7 linked regions of the Daphnia pulex genome follow. The protein of the gene in region 5 binds, or shares a complex with, the protein of the main gene of each other region. Links are inferred from orthologs where the notes say so. Each region holds a gene or a part of one and is shown on either strand. Other genes may lie near its edges.

Region 1 (4,197 bases), on a different chromosome or scaffold from region 5:
GAGGGGGTTTGTATGGTATTTTCTTTCGTTCCTTCAACGTTTTGACTGCAATAGATTCGGCAGGTGTCTTGTAGACTTGTTCTTTAACTTTCCACATTCGAATAGTCATGTCGTCTCCTCCTGTAACGGCCGTATCCTGTTCTAATGCGTTCCATTCGCAACAAAGCAATCTTCCGGTATGGCCACCAAAATTAGCCACTTGCTCTTTGTTGATCACGTCCCAAACCTGCAAATGCAAGTAAAAATAAAAGGGTATAATTAAAAAGTCTAAGAATGATTTACCTGTGCGGTTCCATCATAACTGGCAGAAAGAAGCTTTCCATCTTCATGTGGGCTCCAAGCCACCGACACCACACGTTCTTTATGACCGCTTAGAGTAGCCGCAAGTGTGGATGTTGCGGGTTCGTCGTTGTTGGCAACGACGACGCTAAAAACTGGAACAAAAGTAAAAAGGCGTCAGTCAGTCAATAAAACAAAAGGGGTCAAGATAGTTAAAATTTACACGTACCTTTGATGTTCACATCGTTTGAAGCCACTGCCAACCAGTTTTCAAATTTGGAAGGTTCCACACTTTGGAAAGTGAATGGCGGATGCCATTTAAGGCATTGAATAAGTTTTTTATGCGCAACGATAATCGTTAGCAAAGATAAATCGCCGCCTGAATAGATTTCCACAGAACCGTCTTCGTTGCCTACGGCTAGAAGAGAAAAGTCCACTTTCCATTGAAATTCCGTACGCGAAGGGAACTTTTGATTTTTTTCTCCTTTGCTTGCGATCAAATTATTGAAATTTTTTGCTTCCGTATCTAATGCTGATGGATCGTGAACCATAATGTTGTTCCCACCACAAGAGTAGAGGAATATCCCTTCCTTAGACGGCAGGGTAGCCCAGGATAAATTGTATACGGTACCCTTGTGGTAAGTGCGACTCAATTGAGGTGGTTTAGTTAGCGACAGTGTGTCAAATATTCCTACGCGTCCTTCATCGGTTCCAAATGCCAACCGGCCCTCTATTGTCGGATGCCACGCTAATCCACTCACTTTGCCTGTTATGATTGAATTGCAATTTTACTCTCTATACTGCATAAGTAGATTATATATTCATCACCTTTGATTCCATTCCACAGCATCATCATGTCAGGTTTCGCAGCTGCCATATTCCATAGTCTGATGGAGCAGTCTCCCAATCCCACAGCCATTTGGGATGAATCGATGGGATTGATATTCATGACGTAGATGAAACCACCCATGGTTGGCATACAAAGATGCGGATTCTCCATTTCTTGAATGCCTAACACTTCTTTTGGTACGTGGCCTTCCACTATGGGCCAAAGAATAACATTACGATCCTGCGCCGAAGTCCAAATCATTTCCTGGTTTTCTCCAGTCATGTATGAAGAAATATTGAAGAGTCCACGGCTGTGAAGCTTGTGAACGATCTTCCAAGACAATTTGGGCCCAACCTACAGCAAAACAAATTGATTAAATTCATGCAAATAAAAATTTAACTTAAAATTCTGACCTCCCACAAGATAAGTTCACCACTGAGTCCACTGCTCAAAATATGTTTTTCGTTTAGCCAATGTAAGGCTACCCAGGTCGCACGTTTATCATCCTGAGTAGACCGAGGGCGATGGACTCCAGTATTGCCAGGAAGTTTTGATTGGCTGACACATTTTCCTTCGTTAGTGGCCCAGATTTTAATAGTTTTATCTCGGCCCGAAGTCGCCAAGAATGTTTCCTTCTTTTCTTTTTCACAAATAAATACATTTCCTTTCAAAGGGCACCAAACGATGTTGTGTAGATCCTAAAAGAATTTGTTGTGAATTAATGACGACACTTCATGGGAAAACGCAAAACTGGTTAAACTTATTACATCTTCGTGAGCTCGCAGTTTATGAATTATACCACGGTTTTCTAAATGAAATCAATGATATGTGTGATGAAAAATCATGATAATGTTAGAGCAAGTACTGAATCATTACCTCTAACATCACATATGTACAGCAATCCACCTTTACAGCCAATGGCCAGCTGCCATGGAATGTGGGGATTGAATGACAGCATAAGAGGGTTTATTTTCCCATAATTGAGCTTCCGAGTGCTGCAACTCTCATAGCTCAATAGTAGCTCTGTTATTATGATGGTCCCATCTTCACTTGATGATGCCAAGATTTTCTTATCCAGTAGAGAAGACCAACTTAGACAAGAAATTTTTTGCTCCTAGAAAAAGATGTCAAATTAGATTTGTAGCTTGACAATATGTTTTACAAATATTACCTGATGTGCATTTTGTTCAAATACAAGACTCAAATCATTATATTTCCATATACAAATAGAACCATCTTCTCCAGCACTACTCAGCAACAAATTATTCTCTTCTGAGGGCTGATACCAAGACACACCTTCATATGAAAACAAAACCGATTAATTGAAAAGTGAACCTAAGGAAGTTTATGCTAAACTAACAAGTAATTTTATTCCTGTGGGCGTCCGGGATGACATTAGTTGTAGGATAACTGAAATTATCTCCTACATTACAAGATTTCACAAAGACGAGGCATCGCGAAGCAGCATAAACTAATACTCCAGACTTTTTGTGACATTCAAAAGCACCACTCAGATACCAATTTGGAGATGGAGGAATCACAATCTCTTTTTTATTTTCTGTCATCCTACAAGTTTAACTTGTACAATTTCTTTAAGTTGAAAACTAAATCTTACATATACGCACCATGTGCGAACAATTTCAAAACAACGTGCACAGACGACAAAGGTGGTGCTAAACAGTAAACCTTACTAAAAGCAGATATTACATAATTTATTTTTGAGATGGGATAAGTTAAGAAGTTGTAATAATTCTTTAAATAACGCTCAGAAAAAATTCGTTATTATGAATCATGAGCGATCCTTCGTGTTGCATAAAATAAAACAATTCTTGGCCGCTTCCAAGGGTAGCTCGAATTGTTCCTCATCAAATCAGAAATCAACGAACCTTGTTCGAAATGTGCGCGTCAAAAGGAATTCGTCACTTATTTCGAAGAATAGCTTACGCTCATAAACGTCGATAGATGTGTGAATGTAGGCTGATATTGTTTGTCATGTTCCAGAGTTTCAGTGAGCAATATGGAGACCGGAAGATGCAGTTTCGCTTGTGCATTTCTACATTTGTTCATAAATGTTCTATTACTGGTACGCTTAATTCTTTATTATTTACGAAAACTCATTGCAATCAATGAGTGACACAAGTAATTATTACGAAACATGGTAGGTTCTCGGAATGTGTTTACTTGGATTTGGACTAGCTGAAGAATCTACTCGGCTAACATCCATACTCTCGGCTGAATTGAAAATCGGAAGTCTTGCTGTTGTCATAGGAGTCATACTGATCGTTATGACGACGCTTAACTGTTGTTTCACTATTGACGGCAGTTCTGTTTTTTACTACATAGTGAGTAAAATAAAAATAATTTTCTTTCTCCCTATCTGTATCCGTAGTGAATCGTATTAAAGAGACGTTGACACTTGACAGTATGCAGGTTTCCTCGTACTGTTGTTCATTGCCATGGTTGGACTTTTGGTGGCGTTCGGTCCTGATTTCGGTACTAAAGTCAAGCAAGACATTAGAGAGTCTATGCGCGAAATGATGTATTTCGATCCCGACGGAAGTGGGAAAACTGGAATGGATATCACCCAACAAATGGTAAATTAGTTTACTTGGAAATTAGTCGGCTGACGTGATAAAGCGCTTGGTTTAGTTCCAGTGTTGTGGCGTTGATAGCTACAAGGACTGGAACAGCGTAGCAGGATATTCATTCATTCCTGATTCCTGTTGCGTTAAATCAGGATGCGACACTTCCTATCTGAAGAATATATACCAAGAAGTAATTAAATATTATTATTAATCAGTTACATTAAATTTAGTTTAAACTTAATTCTCACTTTACAGGATTGTGTCTCGAGCATGATGAAGTCGGTCGATGCCCTCTTCGCCAAAATAACCGCAATTGGGATTGCCATTACGATATTCCTACCTTTTCAAATCATTCTTGTCATTTTTCTAGTCCGCTGCGTTCCGAGTGATCCTGTCTATCAATAGTTAATTTGTTTGTTGCTACAAAAAGGAAAAATTTGATTGTGAAAAGAATAGACGCCCGTATCAGGTCATCTCAATTTATTGTTACGAATTAATCACACT
Region 2 (3,498 bases), on a different chromosome or scaffold from region 5:
ACCGACTTCGAGGCCACTGCCGCATAGGATTTACCTAGCTGCGAGTCCATTCCACTAGGTGGCTCATTCTCCTTAGTCGGCTGCCCATCACCGAATAACCCATTCAAGAACCTATTTGCAATTTTAACCTTGATGCTGGTTAGCTCACTTTCTATCTCTTTAGTATGACTGATAATGCACTCTTTCTCTTGAATGAGCGTCTCTCTTTCCTCTTTTAAATCCTTTATTAGTATATTATCATGTCTTCTCTCGACATGTCGGTCAGAGAATTCTGGCTATTGTTCTGTACACTAAGTGTACGTTTCCGTTTCTCACCATTGGTGCCACCAATACTTGATCTAGGTCTAGAGTACATTATTTTACACACCTCAGAGCAATAAAGATGATTTCCCTGCCATACTCCCTCCTATACGACGGAAATTCCGTCGTATAGGGGGTATATATTACACGAGCGAAGAAAGGCAACTTGCGTCACTTATTGATCAAGAAAAACTGAAGGTATATTTTTTAAAATAATTTAATGTCGTAGTGAATAGTGATCTAGTAACCACTACTTTGCCATTCATTTAGGCTATCAAACGACCAGTTGGAATAGCTTTTATAACCTTCGCCTCAAACATTCAAGCAGCGAGGGTAAGCCAAGATCATAGGCCCAATTGGCGATGTGGATCAATCCCAGAAAGCTCGAGCCTGATTGTTATCTTTAAGCCTCACCGTTGGTCCGTTGATTTTGCTCCACGTCCAGATGAGATCAATTGGTAACTAGATTAAATTAATTAAGGTTAATTCAAGTTCTATAATTATCCTCTGTCGTATAGGAGGGAGTATAGGATTAGTCAAGCATAAAATAATTTCTAGTTCGGCTATACGCCACAGTGGTACGCATTGGCGTAAGCTTCGCACGACTTTTGGCTATGTCGCGTACTTTTGAATTGCAATAAGATCTATTCGGCTGCGTCAATAGTCAATACAATACGTGTTACTGATGTATCGCGAATAACGTTCAGGATCAGCGCAGTGTTAATGGTTTATTTTACGTTACGTTTTTACGGGTTTATACGTTAATGGATTATTGGTCCTGATTGATCTTGTCCATTCGGAACCGTTCCGAACACAGCCGCCTATTTTATAACATTTCCCAACACACCCGCTGTGGCGCGGTGTAAAGGATTGGCCGATCGCACGATAGATGGTGTTTCTGCTTCATAAATCTTTGATCTTTGATTTCCATTTTCCAACCACTTAAAACCTAGGAGAAACCTTTTTCTTAATTATTAATTGGAACATATCGAGAACAATAATATTAAATCAATTATGGTAACTATTGAGTTTTGTGCTTCATACCGAATCATCGAAGATTAATTTAATTATTTATTTATCTAGTTACCTTTGTCGCTACTACGTACAGCCCAGAATCATCCCATGGTAAGCATTTTTTACTTTTGTTATTTACAGCAATAAAACTAGTGTTTCAATATTTACAGTTAGTGGAATTGAAAAATGGGGAGACTTACAATGGCCACTTGGTGAGTTGTGATAACTGGATGAACATCAATCTACGAGAAGTAATTTGCACCTCCAAGGTAAAGTACTTTCATTTAAGATAGTTCCGTCATCTGTATCTGTCAGTGATATTCTTGAATACGATCATAAGGTTTTACATATAATATTTAATGAACAAAAATACAATTTCTTTAGGATGGTGACAGATTTTGGAGAATGCCTGAGTGTTACATTAGAGGCAGTACCATCAAATATCTTCGAATTCCAGATGAAGTCATTGATATGGTTAAGGAAGAAGTAGTTGCAAAAGGTCGTGGTCGCAGTGATGGTAAAGGAAGAGGTGGAGCCCAAAGAGGAGGCAGAGGTGGTAGTAGAGGTATGTTTTAAATGCCAAAATTTTCTCACTCATTATCAATTAAGTTAATGGGGTATACAAAACAATTTTATTCGTAGTCTTAATATTGTTTTAGTCATGAATATTATTGAACAAGTACCAAGTTATAACAGTATTATACAAAATTTTCTGATAATGGTCCAATGGGATAAATATAGTACAATCACTTAATGCTCAAATGATTGTACAATAACTAATGTATGTTTGACTTCTTGTTAATCTCATTATTCTAGAATCATGTTCAGTATATCGTAGCTTTATTTTTAAATTACGTCGTTTCGTGTCATTTGACGAATGAATAGCTAAACATCCTATCTGCACATTCAGGAATGCCTGCTCTTATGGTTTAAAAATGAAATCTATCTACTATGTAGAGGTTTATAATTTGTTTTTTATTGATTATTATTTCAAGAGGTACATGCCGCGTCTCTTACTTGAATACTGATAATAAATTAATTTTAATATTAATTAAAAATAGGAATTTATAAAATTAATTATTTAATCTTTTCACGTTTTTTTATATTTTATTTTAACCTTCCAAAAAAAGTTTACAGTTTAATGAAGTATAGTACTACCTAGGTAATGTTTCTCAGTCGTGTACATTATTATAACTTACATTATTTCCTTTTACTAAGCGTTAGCTTATCGCAGCTACACGAATGTGCGTCAAACTCAAATTAATAGTTAATGATTGATTGAATCGATGGGATTATTTTAATTTTATTATTTAATATTTTTATTTTAAAACATATAGGCTTCGTTGACGTATAATATGGAGCATGCATATTCCTATTGATATGATATAAAATTATTCTTGTGTTGACCATCAGGTTCTTTTGGTGCTTCAAGAGGTCGAGGCGCGCCGTCGGGACGAGGTGGTGGTGGTGGTGGTGGCAATAATAAACCCCGTGGAAAGTAAATAAACTTGTCAGAATGAATGTATGAAAATAAAAATATGGCCAAGTCTTGATTTATTCGAGACGCTTTCTGTTTTGATAAAAAGATGGAAGCACTTATCTCATTCTTTCTCTTCACATTAATTTTACATGCTTAAAATAAGCCCATAAAACCTTTAGGCTGAAATACACCAAGAAACTGAAATATTTAGAAGAGAAGAAGCCCTTGTGGACTTGTAATAACACGCTGCACCTTCAGCTGTTTTGCTGCATATTTCATAAGTCAGTAGGTGCGGCGTAGTAAGAGTGGATGTGTCGGATCGTTCGTTGCCAACTGGCAAAGCGACAGCGAAAATCGTTGTTAGCACAGAAGATTCAGATGCCCATTTTTAATAACGAATGAAAACAAATGTTTTGTTTTTGCAGAAAGTTCGGCGCGCTTAATAAATGTCAAATGTGTATACATATTTTGAAGCATGAAAGTTTTTCGTTTGTTATAGATACTTTCTGCGTTATAGATACTTTGAACTTGAATGCTCACCAAATTCAGTACAAAAGCAAAAGCCATACCACTAATTTTAGAGCGACACCATAATACATCTTCCATTTTCTCGCTCAGTTGCATTCGAACGTAAAATACAATTAGCTCGTAATTACGATTTAGTTCTTAATTATTTGTCAGACGTTTGCAATAGTAAATTCGCC
Region 3 (3,869 bases), on a different chromosome or scaffold from region 5:
CAGGGTTCTCGGTTTCCCTTCCATTTTTCCCGCCAAAATACAGTGTTTCAAAATTTAAGACCGCGTGAAAACGTGAGCTTTGTAAATTAAATAATTAAATGTTATGCAACGAAGCAAAAGGTTTTCTTTGACTAGTCTTAACATTTTTTAACAATATTTTTTCTAACTACATTTTGGGATGAATTGAAAACCAGAAGATTTTTATGTACTCGTTCTTTACGTGTGGCATTTGGCTGCTTGTTGAAAGCTAATACGTTATCACAAACAAGGAGTGACCCTAAATTATTCTCAAGTAGGTATTCTAAATTGCTAAGAACCTCATCACTATTTGATTGCCTAAAACATTCACGCTGAAATCAGTGATTATATAATTGACAAGCTAAAGCTATCCCGACTCGGGATAGCTTGGGATTCCCGAGCTATCCATAATATAAATAATCCATAAGCGCATAATAACTCAGCACATTACTGAAGTAATAATACAAGTTTGCGCCAACAAATCGTTTAAAAATCAAGTTGTATTGTACGGTACAGGAGATGGCGAGTTAATAACGACGCCGTTTTAATAAGTCGGGCTTCCAGTTGATGGGGTGTGTCTCTTCATTAGCTTCGTCGTCCTCTTTGTAGATTTTGATAGTTTTATCTGCTTCGGCCGTTATGAGACGTGAACCACTGTGGTCAAAGGCCATGGCAAATACTCCAGCTTCACTATCCATTGAGCCTGGTTGCACGGGGGCCTTAAATTTGAATAGGAACAGTTAAAGAAACGTTCAAAACACAGTTTCAACTAAATGCATTTATACCTGTGAGCGCTGGAAATTGTATCCAGTCTTGAAATCCCAGAAGTGGAGTGATCCGTTATCAGCACCCGATACCATTACGTTGTCAGCATTGATGGCAAGGCAATTAAGAATGGCATTGTGGCCCGAAAGATTCTGAATAAACTTGCCTTCGGGGCACTTCCATTGTTTGATATTATCCGGCGAGGCGGATGCAAACATGTAGCTGCAACATAATTTTTTAAAATTAATTGTACATTCAATGTGTTGTGAAATAATGGGTTAGCTTCATACAGGTTAGGGTGCATTGCCACTGCCCGGACACTTTTCTTGTGATTCGTCAAAGTAGCCATTGATCTGCCAGCCGCCAAATCCCATAATCGAATAGTGCTGTCATGACTACTAGTAATAATCTATGGTTTCGAAAGGTAAAATTAAAATTCTGGATTATGAGTGTCGAAAACTGCTTTGAATACTTGAGGTTCGGCTGCTTGACAAACAACTGATGCTACGGTGTTGGTGTGGCCAGTTAGGGTATGAATGTTTGCTTTGGATCGCATGTCCCAAACACGGGCAGTAGAGTCACGACCACAAGTTACTAAAACGTCGATGGTTGGATGAAGGGCCATACTATAAACGGCACTCAAATGGCCGTGGTAGTGCCGGATAACCTGAAAAAGATTTTGTTAATATTTCTTACACGGTAAATTGAAATGGTGATGGCTACTTTGTTGTACTCCAAATCCCAGCATTTCACTTGTCGATCTTCACCAGCACTGAAAAGGTACGGATGTCTTGGGCTGACTTGAAGAGCACGGACGGTGCTGACATGGCCTGTAAGCGAAAGTTTCAGCCGTCCAGAGGCCAAATCCCAAATCTATAAGAATTTCAAAATGAAAAACTTGACTCTTATAAATGTAAGGAATAAATTACCTTAATAACTCTGTCAGCAGATCCTGTGCAAAACCATTCATTCGTAGGATCAACAGCTACACAGCGTACCCAACCAATATGACCACTGATAACACGACAAAGTTTCCATGGTGGATGCCACTGTGGCTTGGGCATTGTTGGGGCTTTACGGGTTATTAAAGATTGTGTATTGTTTGTGGGTCCACCTAATAAGATTCTTTTTTAGTAAATAGATGGGAAAACAATGACTGCATATTTTTCTCACCTGCAGCATAGCCTGGTATACCAACAGTTGATACATTTGCTGAAGATTGTGGCATCTGATGTCCCCCGATTGTTCCTGAAGGCATAAGAGCCAAAGCTTGGCTGGTCTCTCCATCTTGTTCTGTAAAAAAATAAACATTCCACTTAAAAATACATATTTCCAATCAATATAGGGGAAAATAAATTACCAGATTTGTTAGTTAGAGCAAGCTGTCCTCCAGGGTAATTTACCGGAAGCCCTGTTTTTTTCGCTATCTCTTGTTGTTTCCTGACCAGTTCAACTATTGGACCATACGTATCTTTAGCTTTTGATGATCGCCAGGCAGACACTCTAGATAATCAAATAGAATTGAGTTACTTAATACGTTGAAACAATGTAAAGTTATTTCAACACACGCTTTTTGATCAAGAGGAGGTAGACTACCCTCTTCTGACAGAAACATGTCGTGGGTTCTCTTCAGTGATCGAAACACTAGCGTATGCACGGAATGCTTCTGAATATCCTGTAGAGATATGAAATTTTGTAAATTAGAAATTGTTCATAATTTTTTTAATTGCAAAATTTACCTCTCCCATGATTGTTGTTATATTGTAAAAACGAAACCAAATCAAAATTTACATGAGGTTTGTACTCGATTGTTGCCGGCGTTGTCTAACGTACTGATCAAATCGCCATCTGTTAGTGACTAACAGAAGATGTAATTATTCACGCCAGATGGCTTCTATTGGAAGCGTCGCCGGCAACATGGCACATTGAAATTGATTTATATAAAAAAAACGCAAAATGGCGGCATCTAGCCATGAGTCGGCTTGGTGTTTATGTGTATTTTGATGCAATCAGGAGTTTCAAAGTTTGTCAACAAAAAAGTTTTGGGCTTGTGGTTGCCCATAGAATCGGGTGAAGTTTTTAGTGGCTTTGGTTTGAACTTTGATAGTGGGCCGTTCCGAGCTGGTCAATAAGTGACGCGTTTTGGATTACTCGTTTACTGACATTTAGATACAAGTGTGCTACAAATTCGACAACAGCATGTCGAGTACTTTTGTGGCAGATACCACAGACGATAGCTCCTCTGCTGGAAACACACTAATCATTATTGTTGATAATGACACTGGTGACATATCAGTTGATCAGGAAACACTTCAACTTCTTAGTAAGTCGTCACATTTTGGAGGGAAATCATGTTTTTATTCATTTACCTTATTTTCAGGCTCTCAAGAGAATACAACTCTAAGCGTAGTTAGAGTCAATGATGTTGCAGGTGACAGCAGTACTGATGTCAACATAACTGTAGAAGAAGATTTCAACCCAGTCTCTAGCCCTGTACTCAAGGAAAACGAGGAAGAATTGATGGAAACTGACCAGGAAATTGCTCAAGTTAATGGAAATGTCAAAGCAGGGCCAAAAATTAGTGAGCAAGTTTTAGAAACAACAGATCCACTCTTAGCTCTTGATCAGGAAGAGATCGAGAAAATTGAGCATGCATTACAAGCAGAAGCTGGGGCTTTTTTCAACAATATTCTCCCACCAGAAGCTGGTCTAGATGACCTGCTTGATCCCGAACTTACAGGAGGTTTGCCAAATAACTTTGTGTAGTAGTAGTAAGTGTATCTAGATTATATTATTGTTTTTTCTATCCAGCTCCGGATGACACTGAGGCTGTTGCGTCCATCTCACTTGACCATTGTTATTCAGCTGCGCATGGCCCGGCAATTAGTAACTCGAGAAACGCCGACAGTGCGATGAGTTCTGAAGTTGATAGTTCTGATAGCGTTTCGACGGGTATAGGTGGTGGTGGTGGATCAACGCGCCAACCTTCACCTAAGCGGCGTTCCCAACGCCAGATTGACCGGCAAGAAATGGAGCAATTAAAGAAAATCCGAGCAGAAAATGAGGAACTTCTCAAAAAGGAGAAG
Region 4 (2,948 bases), on a different chromosome or scaffold from region 5:
AAACCAGCCTTGATCAAAGGGACCCTCACAATGAGCTCTGCATTCTTCTTCTGCTTGCAAGTATTCTACCAAGGAAAGCTCCATGTTGGTTGTAGTTCTGTCATAGTCCTTCTTTTTGTAGGATTCACTGCCACGAATGTAGAATTCAACATAGGGTTTAGCTTCAAGGTTGATGACATAGTTGGGATCCACTTTCAATTCATTGATGAAAAATCTAAGATTTTCTTTCATCACAGTATGGTTTAAATTCATAGTTAAGAAAGTGTAGGCACAGGAAGCTGCCTTGATATTATCGTTGGTCTGAAATAATCCAAACACAAAAGTTTAAGTAAATAATAAAGAAAATGTGATGTAGGATACTAACCTTGAAGTAGCAAAGCTGAAGATAGTCATAAGGTTTCAAAGTGTCAAAATCATCTGTTTAAAATGTAAAAATTTTTAAAAACAGAAAACATATTTGATGAAGATAAGACTGTCTAACCTGCAACTTTACGGTCAACAATTTCTGCACGGTTCTTCAAAATATCTTTCTTGCATTTCAGTAAGCAAAGTGTCTTCTTTATCATCTTTTCCCATAATTTCATATCTTCCAACTGTGGAGACACCAACGGTTTGTCAAAAGATTCCTTGAGACATTCCAATCGACAGCCCACCACAGCATCTTTGTAAAAATGATAATCTTCAATGGCTTCGTTCATACGCGTGACGCACTCATCCCATTGCTCATTTAGATATGCTTCTACTGCCTGGCTGTAAAGAATATCGTACGAATTGGCAGGATCAGCTTTTGTAGCAGAGCAAAAGTAAACCAAGAGGGACAAAAAACAAGCTTTAAACAACATATTCTTACAATATATAATAAGGCTTGACAAAATAAAATAACATGGGCAGACTATGGAGCTATGGAGCAAGGGGAGGTTATCTTTGTGACTGCTCCACGTTAACAGTCAAGATGCCCTATGCAAAGAAGAGGGGTACATATATGCGTGAGAAAACATCTGTTAAAAACCTTAAACAAATTCTCGTGTTTCAATGTTTTGACTTAAAAGCAACATTGCCAATTATGAATAACGCAATCATGAAATTAATTAATCTTGAATTCTTTCAAATTTGAATTATATTTTTCAATTGCTGGTGGTTTTTTAACCGTGAATCGTGAGATGACAGGTAAGTGCAATAATTTAAATTTTTAAGTAAATAGAGCTGACAAATTAAAGTGATGTAGATGTCGCTTGCGTCTGAGCAAATAGTGGCGCAGAACCGCAGACGACAACTTAAACTTCAAAACAAACAACTGAAATCATTTGTGAAATTCCAGGCATGGATGAGTTCCTCCATAAAGCGCTTTACGTCGAGGAAACAGACGAGGATATCGATTTTGAGTCTGCGCCCAGTACAGGCCAAGAATACTTGAGAAGAGTTATGTAAGTCATGAAAACTTGTGTGTTAATAAATTGTATCACTATAAATTCATGCTGCCGGTTTATTTGGATAGAGTCGAATCGCGAAAATGCGAAGCGGTTGTAGTTGCCGATATGAAAGGAAAGAAGCTCAAAGCCCAAACTGTCAAATACACTACGGTAAGTTTCATTTTATTCAAATTTATTGATCTAGTCTGTCATTTCTGTGTAAATTCAGGACTCTGGCTGCCCACCTGCACCAGAAGTTTTCCTACCTTCAAAAGAATGGCAACAATTCCAAGTCTCTCAGTTTTCCTGCCTCAGGAGCCGCATGGCAAAACACTTGGCCAGGCTGAAAAAACAAGGAATTCAAATGAAACCGAATACAACCCTGGTAAGATCTTTGCTGTTGCAATGGCTTCCAGATAAATGAGTTTGGTCTTAATTATCCCTTCCAATTGTAGCCTGCTGGAGACAAAGAAAAGGAATGGTCAGTGTTGTGCTATGGTAACCCTGAGGATGAAAAGCCTTGTGGAACACCACCTATGCTCCCCATCATTTTATCCCTCAACCAGGTATATGAAAGTCACCTACTTCTCAGCATTCACACTATTATTTCTGTTGATGCAGTTTATGGTGGAGACTCTACTAGAGTACAACGTACAATGGCTGGAGGAGACGAATTTTACTCAGCAAAGGGGTCAGTGGCTCTACGCTCTACTTGCCAAATTGGAGAAACCTTTGAAACCCGAAATGTGTAGCCTCATCAGAACACTGGCACGTTTGTGTAGCACATTCCGAGTTCAATTAACCTCGGTCGACGACCCGCTGTTGGCCCAGCTCAATCTTTTCATATGTCTAGTCGGTCGTTACTTTGATCAAAGTGATTTAGCCGATCCGATGAAATGATTTAAACGCGAACAACGAACATTTCTGGTAACACATTTCCCGCATTGTATTTTTATTTTATTTTTCTTTTGCTCGCCATTTTGTAAGAAATAAAAAATGACTGATGGTAAATATAGTAAAGATCGTGGGTGAATAAGAACATGCATGTGGCTGATGGTATTACATTTAACACTTTTTTTGTTTTTTATTCGGGAGGGATAGGAAGAGGAGCTGAGTTGCATTCGTTTTTTTTTTCTCCCCCATTTTTCAGTGATGGCAAAAGTGGTGGGTGAAAATAAGAAGATTATAGCAGTTACATGTATAATAGCTGGAGGAAGAAAGAATTGAAGGGAAGGTCGGACAGAGATTTTAGAATTAGAATTTGCGTGTGTTTCTTCACAATTCCATTGATTCAACAGTATATAGAGATACGTTAGAAAAATTTGAACTTTCCCATCGATTGAACGAACCAACACAGGAAGGAAACGAAAAAGTGTAAGGAGAGGCGATGCCAATATATTTCTTATATATATTGTTTCTTTTTTATTCATTTTTTTGTTTTTTGTTTTGTTTTATTTACTGCATCCAATCTCCTCCGTTGTGTTCTCCTTCAGCAGATGAAACTGTCGCAAAAATTCAATATTATATCATGAAACATTT
Region 5 (2,880 bases):
ATGAAGAATTGGGGCCTGCTGTATACAAAGCTGACCCAGCAGGTATATATCTAAAATAGGGTGTAAAGTTCTCAAATTGTATGCTTTATTGCTGTTTTACTTTTTTTTCAAGGATATTACTGTGGTTATCGTGCTACTTCAGTGGGTGTTAAACAAACCGAGGCATCGTCGTATCTTGAGAAGAAATACAAAAAGAAACAAAACTACACACATGATGAAGTTATCCAGCTTGCTATTACAACTCTGTCTCATATCCTAACTGCTGATTTCAAGCCATCTGATATTGAAATTGGAGTTGTTTCTAAGGATCAACCAGGATTTAGGTAAGAAAATGCGCAAAATATTTAAGTTTAGGAAATTAATGTGACTGATCTGATTGTTATAGAATTCTGTCGGAAACTGACATCGATAAGCATCTGACTGCAATTGCCGAAAAAGATTAAGTTTGATTTTGTAACTTTTTCTTTCAACATTGGAATAAAACGAGATAATAAAACACATTTTCCGCTGTTCGATTTTTTTATTTCATACAAAAGTGAGAGATAAACACATACAATTATTTTGCTCCAGGAGTACCAGCCAAAGGATTTCTTAATACTAATATTACAGAATCTCCACGTAGGAACATTTTGGAGATAAAACGGTCCTTGTTGACTGGTTTGCTCTATAAAATAAATATACAACTGTCACTGTTGATAGATGAATGAATGAATGCAGAAATAGTGAAAATTACCTTCTTCTTTCCTTTCCCTGTTCTGGGAACTTCAGTCCACATTTCCTTGACATTTTCTAGAACCATATTGCAGTGACGGTCAAAAGCTTTAACACGTCCCAGTAGCTTTTTGTTGTTACGGCAGTTGATCAAGACCTGAGTGTTGTTTTTTACACTCTGAGTCAAAACTGAAAGTGGTCCAGTGTTGAATTCTTCTTCTTCCCGTTTGGCCAATTCCTCCGGTGTCATCTCCGACTTGGGTTTATTTGCAACAGCCCTATGGAAAGAAACATTTATTATTTAGTGCTCATACGAAACTGTCAAGTAGAGAAAAATCTGCAGACACGGAACACTGTAACTAGCTGAAAATATAGATTTAAAAATTTTCTATTTTGAAATTGAACTTAAGCTTTACTTACGCCATGATAAATAGAAGGATGTAAACGGATAGAGAAATATTCTTTGGAATATTTTTGAGCCCGGCTTCGTTTAACTTTTCAAACCGTTATTCACTTGTTTTTCGTAAACAAAACGTACATGCTGCGTTGTCATATTGTATTAATTAGCATTAGACGGTTGATGCTATTTTATGTCTTATTTGCGATTTAATTGCCAAAAATTGTTTTTTAATGTTGACTTACATTTTTAAGAGACACGTTTCAATTTCTAATAATTGTTGTGAAAAGAAAAGAATGAAATTTGCCAAGAAAAACATTTACAATCCCAGACGTCAGACGTCTGGGACTCTGTACTGGAATTCGTTTTAGTCGAGAGGAAAGGAAATACAAACCTCAGAAAGTAGAGTCAAGAGAAAACCGAAGCGGTTGACAATTGTCAGCCGACAGATGTTATGTTATGTAGCATAGCTTGTCTAATGCCATATATGGACATATTCCCCCCGTATGCACAGACTATTCTTTCTCATGGTCCCCAATGGAGAACGCTTTCCAGCGTTGTTGATAAGTCATCCTGAAACGGCGAAAACTTTCGAATCACGCTGTTATCGGCTGTTCATTGTGCGAAGGCGATCTATGGCAATTGAAACTTTTTGGTCTAAATTATAGAAACAGAGAAAGTTGTCGACACCGGTCCCGAGAGTTTCAGATTTTTAATACATAGGGGAGGGGAGGGCAGATTAGAGGGAGGGGAAGTAAAAATGTGAGTCATCGATGTCTGCCCATAAAAGGTCATCCTCCCCGAGAAACTGAATGAAAGAATAAGTGTGCAACTGGCCCAATAATTTTTTTTTTTCGTTAAAACACTCATGCGAGATGCACACCATTTATTAGGAAGTCGGAATGATCATTTAGAGTCGGCAACTTTTTGCTCAAGCAGAAAAATCTGCGAGTAGAGGATTTTACAGAAAAAGTTACTTTTCGTAACTCTCTCCAGGTTTGTGGTTTGGGCTCCCCTTTTTCGGGTTAACAAGCGCCCGATATGGACAACCAATCAGAGAATGTGCAACCAGTACACACAAAATTCTCTACAATCGGCATCATCCTTCAATCGCTAAGCAAGCAGAGACCCCTGGCGGTTACCCGAATTCATTTAACGACATTTGAGATTTTACATAACAGCAAACAGAATAAGAGTCATACAAATTATTTTTAAAATGATAAATGATGCGCCTATCATTATATGTTTTATTTGTGATAAATTAGTGAAGTTTGTAATATGGTTCGAAATAGGCATCGTTTGACGGCGCTGTATTCCACCCCCAGATGACGCGCTTTTCTGGGTGTGGACTGGGTAGCGCCAAGTTTTCTCAAGTTTGGGGAACAGCCGCCATTTTGCAGTGCGAGGTCCCGGCCGGTGTAGAGAAGTCTACTCTGAGTTTCCCCTCTTCTTTCGCCGCGCCACGAGTAAAATCTTATCGAGGGCATTTTCTCTCTCTCTCTCTCACTCGCACCACTCACTCCCCCCAGTGCCGTCTCATCCCGCAGTCATTCGGGTTGATCTTTCAGTTTAGGCGTCTTTGAGCTTTGCGTGAAATTTTTCTAGACTTTTTTCTTAGTCCAAAATGGTGAGTAACGTTGATATTGTCATGTCGTTAGAAATGTGTTTGCTGTATACGTGTGGAATTCTTCCAATTTCTGTCCCAAAGTCCTCGATTCAGGGAGAAAAGTTCTATCCTTGTGTGTGCTTAACTGACGAACGCGGCAAGGCTT
Region 6 (4,247 bases), on a different chromosome or scaffold from region 5:
AAAAAATTTTCCCGATTGTTATTTGACACATTCCGAACAACCAAAAACACCGAGAAGATTTATTACTAAAACGAAAGGCGGATGAAAATATTAAATATCTTCTTCATCTCATCTTCCATGTTCCTGCACTGCTTCTAGTTGAAGATTCCGTTAACAGCCAGTGATTGCAGAGCAGCTACAGACGCCTGGAAGCCCGCGTTATAATCGCAAGCTACTTCGTTCGTAACGAAATTGTGTCTGTCATCTACGTAATGGTCATTTTGGTTATCTGGGCCACCAATTAGAGCTCCATAGAGGATCTGGGGATTAGGATTGGGTGAATCAAAGGCATCCCAATCGCAAACGGCGGGCCTATTCGGACATGAACTGCAAAAAGACGAAAAATTAGAAATGTGTATAATATTTCTGGATATCTATTGTATGAACAAGAAGCTAAAAACACGAACCTGGACGCATGATGTGGCTTCAGTGGTGGATTGTGCCCGAAACCCACGACAAAACTACGGCCTGTATCTCCAAGTGCATAATGAATCTGCTGTTGCGCCAGTTGGCGATACGCCAATGGATTGATGTTCAGATCGGCAGCCTACGGAATAAGTGAATAATATATTAATATATTAGTTTAACGTATTTTTAATCACCAGGCGTAAAATTGTGAATATAATTTTTTTTTTAAATACTTGAAGACAAATGAAAGCGATATTTGATGCGGCGCCTAAAGATCCCCACTTGGTAACAAATAGGAGCCCCTTTGGCGTCTTCGGTTGTTCAACTTTGGAATCACAGAAAGTTTTCGCTGCGTTTCTGTAGAGGTTCTCATTTGTCAGTTTGGCCAACAGAACCTATATGAATTAAATGGCATTAACGGAACAATAATTAAACAAATATAACTGATTTACCTGTACTCCGGCAGTTTTCGTATCCCATGAAAATTCCGATGGATTATCGGAGAGGTTGAAATCGGTGTAAAATGCCTTAGCATCGTCGAGGTAAGCGTTATCGTTAGTAGCTCGGTATAACCAACTAGCGCTCCAAGCCAGTTCGTCACCGAAACCACTTGACCTACAGGCAATTGTGATATTATACCGGATACACATCAAACGCAACAATTTTATTAAATTTAAAGCTTTTACGAATAAAAATCTGCTACTTGTGGGATGGACTCGCTGTATATTCCTCGATGTCGTTTAGCAAAATCGTACAATTGCTTTGCATGTGTCAAGCAAAGAGCTGAGTAAGTGCTGTCGACTGTTTTAAAAACTATTGAAGTTGCGGCAAGTGCGGCAGCTGTTTCACCGGCCAAGTCAGACCCTATCGTGCGCAATGTTGTGTTATTTCTTTGAACGACAATATAATTTAAAAACAAATTACCAGGTTTTGAGGTAGATATAAAAAAAGCCTAAAGCGATAGAAATGTAGTTTTCAGTCGATGAAATAAATGAGTTTAATAATGGGTCAGGGCTTTATACCGGTCGTTTCATGGTCATTTCTTCGGGACGTCCCCAGTAATCGTGATCGAGATCGCCATCGCCCACTTGCCCATAAAATTTGTTAGTTTGCACATGGGCCTTGATAAAGTAATCTGTCGCCCACTTGACCATATTTCGAGCTGTTGTTAATTTCCCTGTATTATTTAAATTAATCCAGTAAGTTTAGTGATCTGATTCAACGAGAAATTGGTTTAAATTTTTAAAACCTGCGGAAGAATATCCAAGCGGATAATCAATTATCGACCAAGCCACTATCGTTATAGAACTGGCTAAAGGAAAACCGAGTTTCAAGTGATCTCCAGCTAAATAAATATGGTAAAGAATTTCAAATACTTTGATGGAATAAAATAGAATACAAATAATAGTATAAATTACCATCGTAATAGCCTCCAGTGAGATCTTCTCCGTCTTGTCCACGATCGTTGAGCGCCGAGTCTGAACGATACGGAATGGGGTTATCGTTTACTGGCAAGCGCCCAGAGCGCTGGGCATAGTAGAAGAGCAATGATTTGGTGATTACTTCACGGTAATTGTATTTAGTCGGCCAGGCATCCACTAAAAGGTTGTTCTCCTAGAAATTGCTTCATTTAGTACAACTTTTTCCATTTTATGCCAAAGAATTAAAATTTATTACTTCTTCTATTATCGGTTGTCTAGCCTCTGTTTTAGTGTCTTGGAAGGACATAATAAAAACAAAATTTAACCAAAAATTCTCTATTATTACGATTAATAATTTAGTTACTTACCAATTAAACAGACGTTGTCTCCGTTAAAAAGTACGCTTGTAATAATGGGTGTGGTGCTGGAACTAAAGAAAGCATTAAAACCGACACTCGTCAGTGTAGCCCCAGCGCTCTGAACTCCGTTAGAACTGAGGTTTCTCAGCTGATATTCCACTTCATTAATCTTAGACTCTGTAGCGTCCCAAGCCTTTAAAAATAAAAATATTCAAAAATGCTATCTATGATGTAACAGGAGCGTGTCATACCTTTAACCATGGAACGGCCGATGAAAATTTCAGGTCAATTTCCCATGAAGTGATTGGAGTCGTAATTGAAATATTAAGCGAGGCAGTCAAGCCTCCCGGCCAAGATGAGCTAATTGTGACGACATTATCGCACGGTCCTCCTATTTATTATTTTGATTGGTGTATTTTTCAACTCTATAATCATGTTAAATATGAGGAACCACACGGAAGAATATTTACCGGAAGCTAGATGCATGAAAAGAAGAATAACGATGAAGCCGGATAAAGACAACATTCTCGGTAGTAAGTTTGCTGGATTCTCTGTCAGCATCGTTCGTCCCGCTCGCCTTTTTATACTTTACATTCGGTCAAAGCATACACGGCACAGACTCAACTCTTTTACGTTATTGCATATTACTTCACAATAATTAAAAAATAACGAAAATACAGTTGCGTAACAAGAATACCATCACCATATTAAAACCATTTTAGAGGAAAAGAATTACTTGAGCAACGCACTGGTATTAGGAAATACAGGACCCATTCGATGGAATGCATACTCACACTACCAGTTTCAAGTAGATTTTATAATATGGATGACGCACAAAATTCTTTTGTTTAGACATTTTTAAAAATTGTCTTATTTTTTTCCCGATGGAACTATAGCCTTGATAACTACGACTTCTTTTGCACGAGGAATTTCAGCGAAATCTCTTTACGGGTTTCTTCGCGGAAAACGTAGTTACGCTTGTTGCATTTTTCGATTTCTATACATCAGTTTATCACCCCCTGTGCGGATTTCAGATGTTCTTGTTTGAAACCAATCAACTTCGACGCTAGATTAATGACTAGCCTATTGTGATGTTTGGGAACTTGGAAATCAATTAGGTGTGGAAATCAATTTATCAACATCTTCTATTGAATTCAGCAGTTGCATAATTCAGGTTTCAGATTGAATGAAACAACACGCGAGCTACCACCTTTACCTTGAAAAGGACATCGAACTCAAACGTATTCCAGACTTTCCTTATACTCTTTCAGATTAATAGACGATTCTTCGTGACATGCGCATCGGTTGAAAAGTTACCAATAGTTTGAGAAATGTATCACCAAATTTTATTTAACTTTTCAAGAACACACAAATGCAGGCGTTTTTTAACCTTTAGTAATAAATCCCATTTCCAAGAAAACCAACAAGATCAGCAGTACTGTAGCAGATAACCATGCAGAATTAAGAGTAAAATATACTTTCTAAAATGTAGGTATATAATATAGTTGTGTAACAAATTCCTGTCTTATCTTGTAAATTTGTATTCTAGTTGAAAACACCTTGGACAGCCAATGATTGCAAAGCAGCTACAGATCCTTGGAAGCCGGCGTTATAATCGCAAGCTACTTCGTTGGTAACGTAATTGCTCCGATCATCCGTGTAATTGTCGTTGCTATCTGGACCACCAACTAGACCTCCATAAAGCACCTGGGGATTGGGTGCAGTTGAGGAATAAGTGCTCCAATCACAAACAGCTGGTCTATTCGGACATGAACTACATAAAAAAAAATAAAAACATTAAAAAATAATAATGCTATCATATTTATAAGCACAATGTTTTATTCAAACCTGGACGCATGATGAGGTTTCAACGGCGGATTAACTCCAAAACCCACGACAAAACTACGGCCTGTATCTCCAAGCGCATAATGAATTTGTTGTTGCGCCAGTTTGCGATACGCCAATGGATTGATGTTGAGGTCAGCCGCCTTTTGAATCGGTGTAAGATTTAAGACTCAAA
Region 7 (3,733 bases), on a different chromosome or scaffold from region 5:
GTCAGTAAACGGGCTTCACGGAAAGTTTTCGAGGTTTGCCTCCATTCTTTTTAACTTTTTCCCTGGAATTGATTTTAACTTTTTTTTTCTCTTGTTAAATTTGTCAATAGGCGACAGAGTGGAAAGAAATCCTTTGCTTCCTACTGAGCAATACGGACAAAGACGTGCAATATCGAGGAGCTGTTATCGTCAAAAACATCGCCAGTCATTCGAAAGAGTTGGCCGAAAAGTTGTTGCAACCTGAGGTTATTATGGTCCTGGAAGTTCTCACCAAATTCGGTAAAGAGGATTAAGTTAAAACTTTTGACATGGTGCCTTGAACTAATCTTTTTTGTAACCCATTTGAATCCGCTCTGCACACAGAAACACCTGAAATGGCCAAAATTTGCGACTGCGCCAAATCAACCCTGGAAATCGCCGAGCAATGGAAACTGATCGAGAAGGAGGACGACTCTGAAGATGAGTCTTGATAAATTTTAATGAAATGATTTAAACAAAAATTAAATTGTGTGCCTATGCAAATTCACTCGTTAAAGTTAAATACACTTTATACGTCAATTGAAAGCATTATTTAAAAAAGAAGGAATTACAAAATAATGTATTCTTACACGTGAATGGTAGGGGGAAAAAATAAAGATGATCTTATCCTCAATCGCTGTCATCATCTGAATCCGTATCGTTGGCCACGACTCCTTCGTCTGCGTAGTGAATGTGCTCAATCTCCGTAACGGGCTCCTCCACATCTGCTGTTGCTCCCGTAGGTTTACCAGTAGTGCTGCCAGACGGCTGCATAATCAATTCCAAGTTGTTGAGCTCCTCGTCGCTGTCTGCTTCCTTGTAAGTTTTGCCTTCTTCCTCCAACTTGAGCCGCTCGATGAGGCTCTTTGCCGGGTTAAAGACACCAAAAGTTTGTTTGCCGCAAACAAAACACCGCTGCGATTTGCGGTAATGTTTCAAGGCGCAGGCCTCGCAGAAATAATGCTTACACCTGCCGTGTCAAAATTTGCGTTAAATTCTCCTTCTTATAAATGAATAGGAGAGAGTCTTTATTACTTGGAGACAACGGGATGTTGGAACGACTCGCGACAGATGAAACACTTGAAGGGCAAATCTTCGTCGTCCGAGTGTATTTCATACTTTGAGTCGTCTTCGGCCGGCTCACCTTTTCCCCTTTCTTCTCGCTCCAACTGCCATCCGAATTTATAATCGGAACGGTCGTGCAAGAACTTACAACTGTCTAATAAAACACAGCAAAGCTTTATAAAAGTTCAACTGAATGATGATAATAACCCCAAAAACTTTTGGTTAGATTTTGAATACCTCCGAAACCGCAGAAACCCGTTTCCTTGTAATCTTTACAAAGATCTGGTTGGTAATCCCATCTCACTGTTGACCTGATGTTGGCTGGGGCTCGCATGGGGCCTTTTCTCACATTGGCAGATGCAGCATTTCCTTGGGCTGTATCTCTTTTCTCGTAGTACTGGGCATAGTTAGCAAGGCCACGATATTTCTTGTCATCTGCTTTGCCTTTCAGCTCCTGCTGGACTGTCAAAGAAACAAAACATTATTTTGGTTCATTTTAAATAAAAAAGTTGACCTACTTTGTAAAGATTTCTCAAAAATTGTCCTGGCATCTTGATCGACGGCAGTGTCGATCTGAACTGTGGAAGTGGCAAGATCGTCTTTCTTGTTCTCAGCACTTCTGTCAGACTGGAAGACGACTGTGACCTTTTCCTTGACTTCCTCATCAGAGCTGTTTTGGATTTCTTGACGGGACTTTTTCGTGGATTTGAACTGTCAACCCCAAAAGAAAAAAACACGATGAGAAACACAAATTCTTTTTGCAGAGACTTTCAATAACTCACAGTTTTAGCCGAAAGAAGTCCAGCCGATTCCTTTTTCCCCACTCGAGCAACAACAGTTTCATCTTCGCTGCTGCTTTTCTTGTCATCATCAGCTTTTCTCCTCATGGCGGCTCCTCCTCCTCTTCGTTTCTTGAATGTAAACGTGCAAACTTTATTGTCGTCGGCCATTTTTGTTTGTTTGTGGATTTTCTTGTTGGATCAAGCTTTCCTTTTTTGTATATAAAAATGTATTTTGACTTGTCAACAAACGAGAACAATAAAATAAAAATCCTTCCGTCTTCTCGTCGTCGGCTTTTCAAAAGGATTACCGGTGCACTGTTGTCTGATTCCTCTAATTGGGTTCTTGATGACTGATTGAATACGCAGCAAGGGATCTGCTGCAGATTTACATATATATGCACAGCAACAGAGACTAGTACATAGAGAACTATGCACACACACACACACAAAAGCTTTTATTATTGTGATCCAGATTTGTCATCTACGATGTCGGTATTAATGATCCGACCCCGAAAACCCGCTTGAGACTTTGAATATATCTTAACGTCATCCGTTTCTACTACTACTACTACGGGTTTTGCTATTTTGCATTTGTTTTGGAAAAATAAAATCGACATATCTTATTGCTTTACATCATTATTATTAGGCATCGTCGTCATTTCTTATGGTCTTCTTCTAATCATTTCCATATGCCTTGGTGATTTATTTTCCTTGTGCAAATGAAATGGATGGGGGGAAGAATCACGTTACTTAAAAATCTCTGGCGACTCGATTACACACAGGCAGTACAAAAAGGAGCATCCTTTCATTAATTAGTAGGTTCCCCTCTAATAATCTGGTGGCGTGTATATATGTATAGATGTGCTCGGCGCATCACAGAGTCTGAGGACCTTCTTCTTTCTTCTCCTCGAAATAATAATACGCACTATATACGCTTCTGCTGGCGATCAATTAGAAAAGACTGCCGAAGCTTTTAAGAACCTTTTCGCCACATATGACTGAATAATAATTCTATTTTCTTAATTCCCCTACCCAATTTTTATTAATTTTTTTTTTCTGGGTGGGGCGGCGGCCACTGAACTGTTATCTCCTCTTCGTTCGTCTACTTTTTTCTTTTTGCTGGTTTTTGGGGGCTTGTTCTCCGCGGGCCTCTTTCGTCTTTGCCCGATGTCGCGCTTATTATTTCTATATCATCAGCAGACTGCTAGCTGCTGGGGGCCGTTCGCTTGATGATTCCCTTACAGCGCCTTAATTAGCCCAGCACTTTTCATCAAGTTGAAATAATAAGGAACGCGCAGGCCAGAAAACCCGGCCGCAAAAGTGCACGAAGCGCTTCACCGTCCGATGAAAAGCTACTTGATCTCCATCCTCCGACTCCATTTATACACCTATACTGCACTACAATATCTATACCTATTCATTTAAAACAAAAAATATTTTTATTTCGCCGTACCGTATAAGTAATTTTTCGGTCAAACTTGTCGCTGACTGAAAAGCCCATCTAGCCAAACTTTGACTTCCTCCTCCAGCAGGATTGGCACATTGACTTATTGCAGCACAGTTTTGCAGATATACCGTTTCGTTCTATGCAAAGAGGGGAGGAGGCTATAAATAGGGACTCAATGATAGATACATGTTATGCATAAAGCGAGGGCCTATTTATACAGAAGCTGAATGATCCAGACAAGATATATAATATCCACATGCTACACTACTATACACGTATAAAAGGGGCTTTTGAGAGAAGGGCCAGCACGGCAGCAGGATCAATCCTTTACACAGCACACACAAGTTACGCGCGCGTTCTAATGGGGCTGCTGCCCTTTTATGAAGACTTTTCGCTCTATGTTCTCTATATGCAGTTTCAG

Evidence for each region.
Region 1: small nuclear ribonucleoprotein Sm D2 (region 5) and gem-associated protein 5-like share a complex: the UniProt entries of both Homo sapiens proteins name them as parts of the SMN-Sm complex. The link is inferred for Daphnia pulex from reciprocal best matches to the Homo sapiens genes SNRPD2 and GEMIN5.
Region 2: small nuclear ribonucleoprotein Sm D2 (region 5) and U6 snRNA-associated Sm-like protein LSm4 share a complex: the UniProt entries of both Homo sapiens proteins name them as parts of the U4/U6-U5 tri-snRNP complex. The link is inferred for Daphnia pulex from reciprocal best matches to the Homo sapiens genes SNRPD2 and LSM4.
Region 3: small nuclear ribonucleoprotein Sm D2 (region 5) and pleiotropic regulator 1-like share a complex: the UniProt entries of both Homo sapiens proteins name them as parts of the minor spliceosome. The link is inferred for Daphnia pulex from reciprocal best matches to the Homo sapiens genes SNRPD2 and PLRG1.
Region 4: small nuclear ribonucleoprotein Sm D2 (region 5) and gem-associated protein 2-like share a complex: the UniProt entries of both Homo sapiens proteins name them as parts of the SMN-Sm complex. The link is inferred for Daphnia pulex from reciprocal best matches to the Homo sapiens genes SNRPD2 and GEMIN2.
Region 6: small nuclear ribonucleoprotein Sm D2 (region 5) and pre-mRNA-processing factor 6-like share a complex: the UniProt entries of both Homo sapiens proteins name them as parts of the U4/U6-U5 tri-snRNP complex. The link is inferred for Daphnia pulex from reciprocal best matches to the Homo sapiens genes SNRPD2 and PRPF6.
Region 7: small nuclear ribonucleoprotein Sm D2 (region 5) and E3 ubiquitin-protein ligase RNF113A-like share a complex: the UniProt entries of both Homo sapiens proteins name them as parts of the minor spliceosome. The link is inferred for Daphnia pulex from reciprocal best matches to the Homo sapiens genes SNRPD2 and RNF113A.

What each region holds. Positions count from the first base shown.
Region 1 is NC_060024.1:12,897,181-12,901,377, reverse strand, and holds the start of gem-associated protein 5-like, read right to left. Parts: upstream 2,801-4,197; 5' UTR 2,674-2,800; coding exon 2,469-2,673; intron 2,405-2,468; coding exon 2,280-2,404; intron 2,223-2,279; coding exon 1,985-2,222; intron 1,917-1,984; coding exon 1,876-1,916; intron 1,807-1,875; coding exon 1,522-1,806; intron 1,463-1,521; coding exon 1,108-1,462; intron 1,046-1,107; coding exon 509-1,045; intron 435-508; coding exon 283-434; intron 227-282; coding exon 1-226. Other genes in the region: CD63 antigen-like, read left to right, coding at 3,126-3,191, 3,271-3,450, 3,532-3,702, 3,758-3,883, 3,949-4,098. UniProt on the Homo sapiens protein: The SMN complex catalyzes the assembly of small nuclear ribonucleoproteins (snRNPs), the building blocks of the spliceosome, and thereby plays an important role in the splicing of cellular pre-mRNAs.
Region 2 is NC_060026.1:5,482,078-5,485,575, reverse strand, and holds U6 snRNA-associated Sm-like protein LSm4, read left to right. Parts: upstream 1-1,169; 5' UTR 1,170-1,314; coding exon 1,315-1,317; intron 1,318-1,383; coding exon 1,384-1,425; intron 1,426-1,484; coding exon 1,485-1,583; intron 1,584-1,698; coding exon 1,699-1,879; intron 1,880-2,727; coding exon 2,728-2,816; 3' UTR 2,817-2,998; downstream 2,999-3,498. UniProt on the Homo sapiens protein: Plays a role in pre-mRNA splicing as component of the U4/U6-U5 tri-snRNP complex that is involved in spliceosome assembly, and as component of the precatalytic spliceosome (spliceosome B complex).
Region 3 is NC_060021.1:1,388,871-1,392,739, forward strand, and holds pleiotropic regulator 1-like, read right to left. Parts: upstream 2,649-3,869; 5' UTR 2,532-2,648; coding exon 2,523-2,531; intron 2,459-2,522; coding exon 2,352-2,458; intron 2,287-2,351; coding exon 2,144-2,286; intron 2,077-2,143; coding exon 1,957-2,076; intron 1,898-1,956; coding exon 1,713-1,897; intron 1,657-1,712; coding exon 1,507-1,656; intron 1,451-1,506; coding exon 1,256-1,450; intron 1,193-1,255; coding exon 1,074-1,192; intron 1,006-1,073; coding exon 804-1,005; intron 738-803; coding exon 546-737; 3' UTR 501-545; downstream 1-500. Other genes in the region: death-inducer obliterator 1-like, read left to right, coding at 2,983-3,106, 3,164-3,526, 3,595-3,869. UniProt on the Homo sapiens protein: Involved in pre-mRNA splicing as component of the spliceosome. Component of the PRP19-CDC5L complex that forms an integral part of the spliceosome and is required for activating pre-mRNA splicing.
Region 4 is NC_060025.1:2,087,193-2,090,140, forward strand, and holds gem-associated protein 2-like, read left to right. Parts: upstream 1-1,244; 5' UTR 1,245-1,320; coding exon 1,321-1,424; intron 1,425-1,495; coding exon 1,496-1,580; intron 1,581-1,638; coding exon 1,639-1,794; intron 1,795-1,864; coding exon 1,865-1,975; intron 1,976-2,030; coding exon 2,031-2,309; 3' UTR 2,310-2,448; downstream 2,449-2,948. Other genes in the region: endoplasmic reticulum protein SC65-like, read right to left, coding at 1-300, 365-417, 482-842. UniProt on the Homo sapiens protein: The SMN complex catalyzes the assembly of small nuclear ribonucleoproteins (snRNPs), the building blocks of the spliceosome, and thereby plays an important role in the splicing of cellular pre-mRNAs.
Region 5 is NC_060018.1:305,102-307,981, reverse strand, and holds small nuclear ribonucleoprotein Sm D2, read right to left. Parts: upstream 1,525-2,880; 5' UTR 1,354-1,524; intron 1,285-1,353; exon of another isoform or gene 1,253-1,284; 5' UTR 1,137-1,252; coding exon 1,132-1,136; intron 990-1,131; coding exon 734-989; intron 665-733; coding exon 557-664; 3' UTR 501-556; downstream 1-500. Other genes in the region: proteasome subunit alpha type-6-like, read left to right, coding at 1-42, 113-323, 386-443; cofilin/actin-depolymerizing factor homolog, read left to right, coding at 2,733-2,735. UniProt on the Homo sapiens protein: Plays a role in pre-mRNA splicing as a core component of the spliceosomal U1, U2, U4 and U5 small nuclear ribonucleoproteins (snRNPs), the building blocks of the spliceosome.
Region 6 is NC_060027.1:3,689,252-3,693,498, forward strand, and holds the start of pre-mRNA-processing factor 6-like, read right to left. Parts: upstream 2,801-4,247; 5' UTR 2,789-2,800; coding exon 2,698-2,788; intron 2,619-2,697; coding exon 2,479-2,618; intron 2,421-2,478; coding exon 2,237-2,420; intron 2,163-2,236; coding exon 2,125-2,162; intron 2,062-2,124; coding exon 1,866-2,061; intron 1,793-1,865; coding exon 1,697-1,792; intron 1,625-1,696; coding exon 1,470-1,624; intron 1,400-1,469; coding exon 1,372-1,399; intron 1,312-1,371; coding exon 1,134-1,311; intron 1,063-1,133; coding exon 900-1,062; intron 843-899; coding exon 681-842; intron 587-680; coding exon 447-586; intron 367-446; coding exon 216-366; intron 1-215. Other genes in the region: endoglucanase 12-like, read right to left, coding at 3,773-4,001, 4,076-4,215. UniProt on the Homo sapiens protein: Involved in pre-mRNA splicing as component of the U4/U6-U5 tri-snRNP complex, one of the building blocks of the spliceosome.
Region 7 is NC_060022.1:4,929,451-4,933,183, forward strand, and holds E3 ubiquitin-protein ligase RNF113A-like, read right to left. Parts: upstream 2,258-3,733; 5' UTR 2,034-2,257; coding exon 1,866-2,033; intron 1,795-1,865; coding exon 1,602-1,794; intron 1,546-1,601; coding exon 1,321-1,545; intron 1,238-1,320; coding exon 1,054-1,237; intron 989-1,053; coding exon 649-988; 3' UTR 501-648; downstream 1-500. Other genes in the region: protein unc-45 homolog B-like, read left to right, coding at 1-33, 111-279, 364-470. UniProt on the Homo sapiens protein: Required for pre-mRNA splicing as component of the spliceosome. As a component of the minor spliceosome, involved in the splicing of U12-type introns in pre-mRNAs. E3 ubiquitin-protein ligase that catalyzes the transfer of ubiquitin onto target proteins.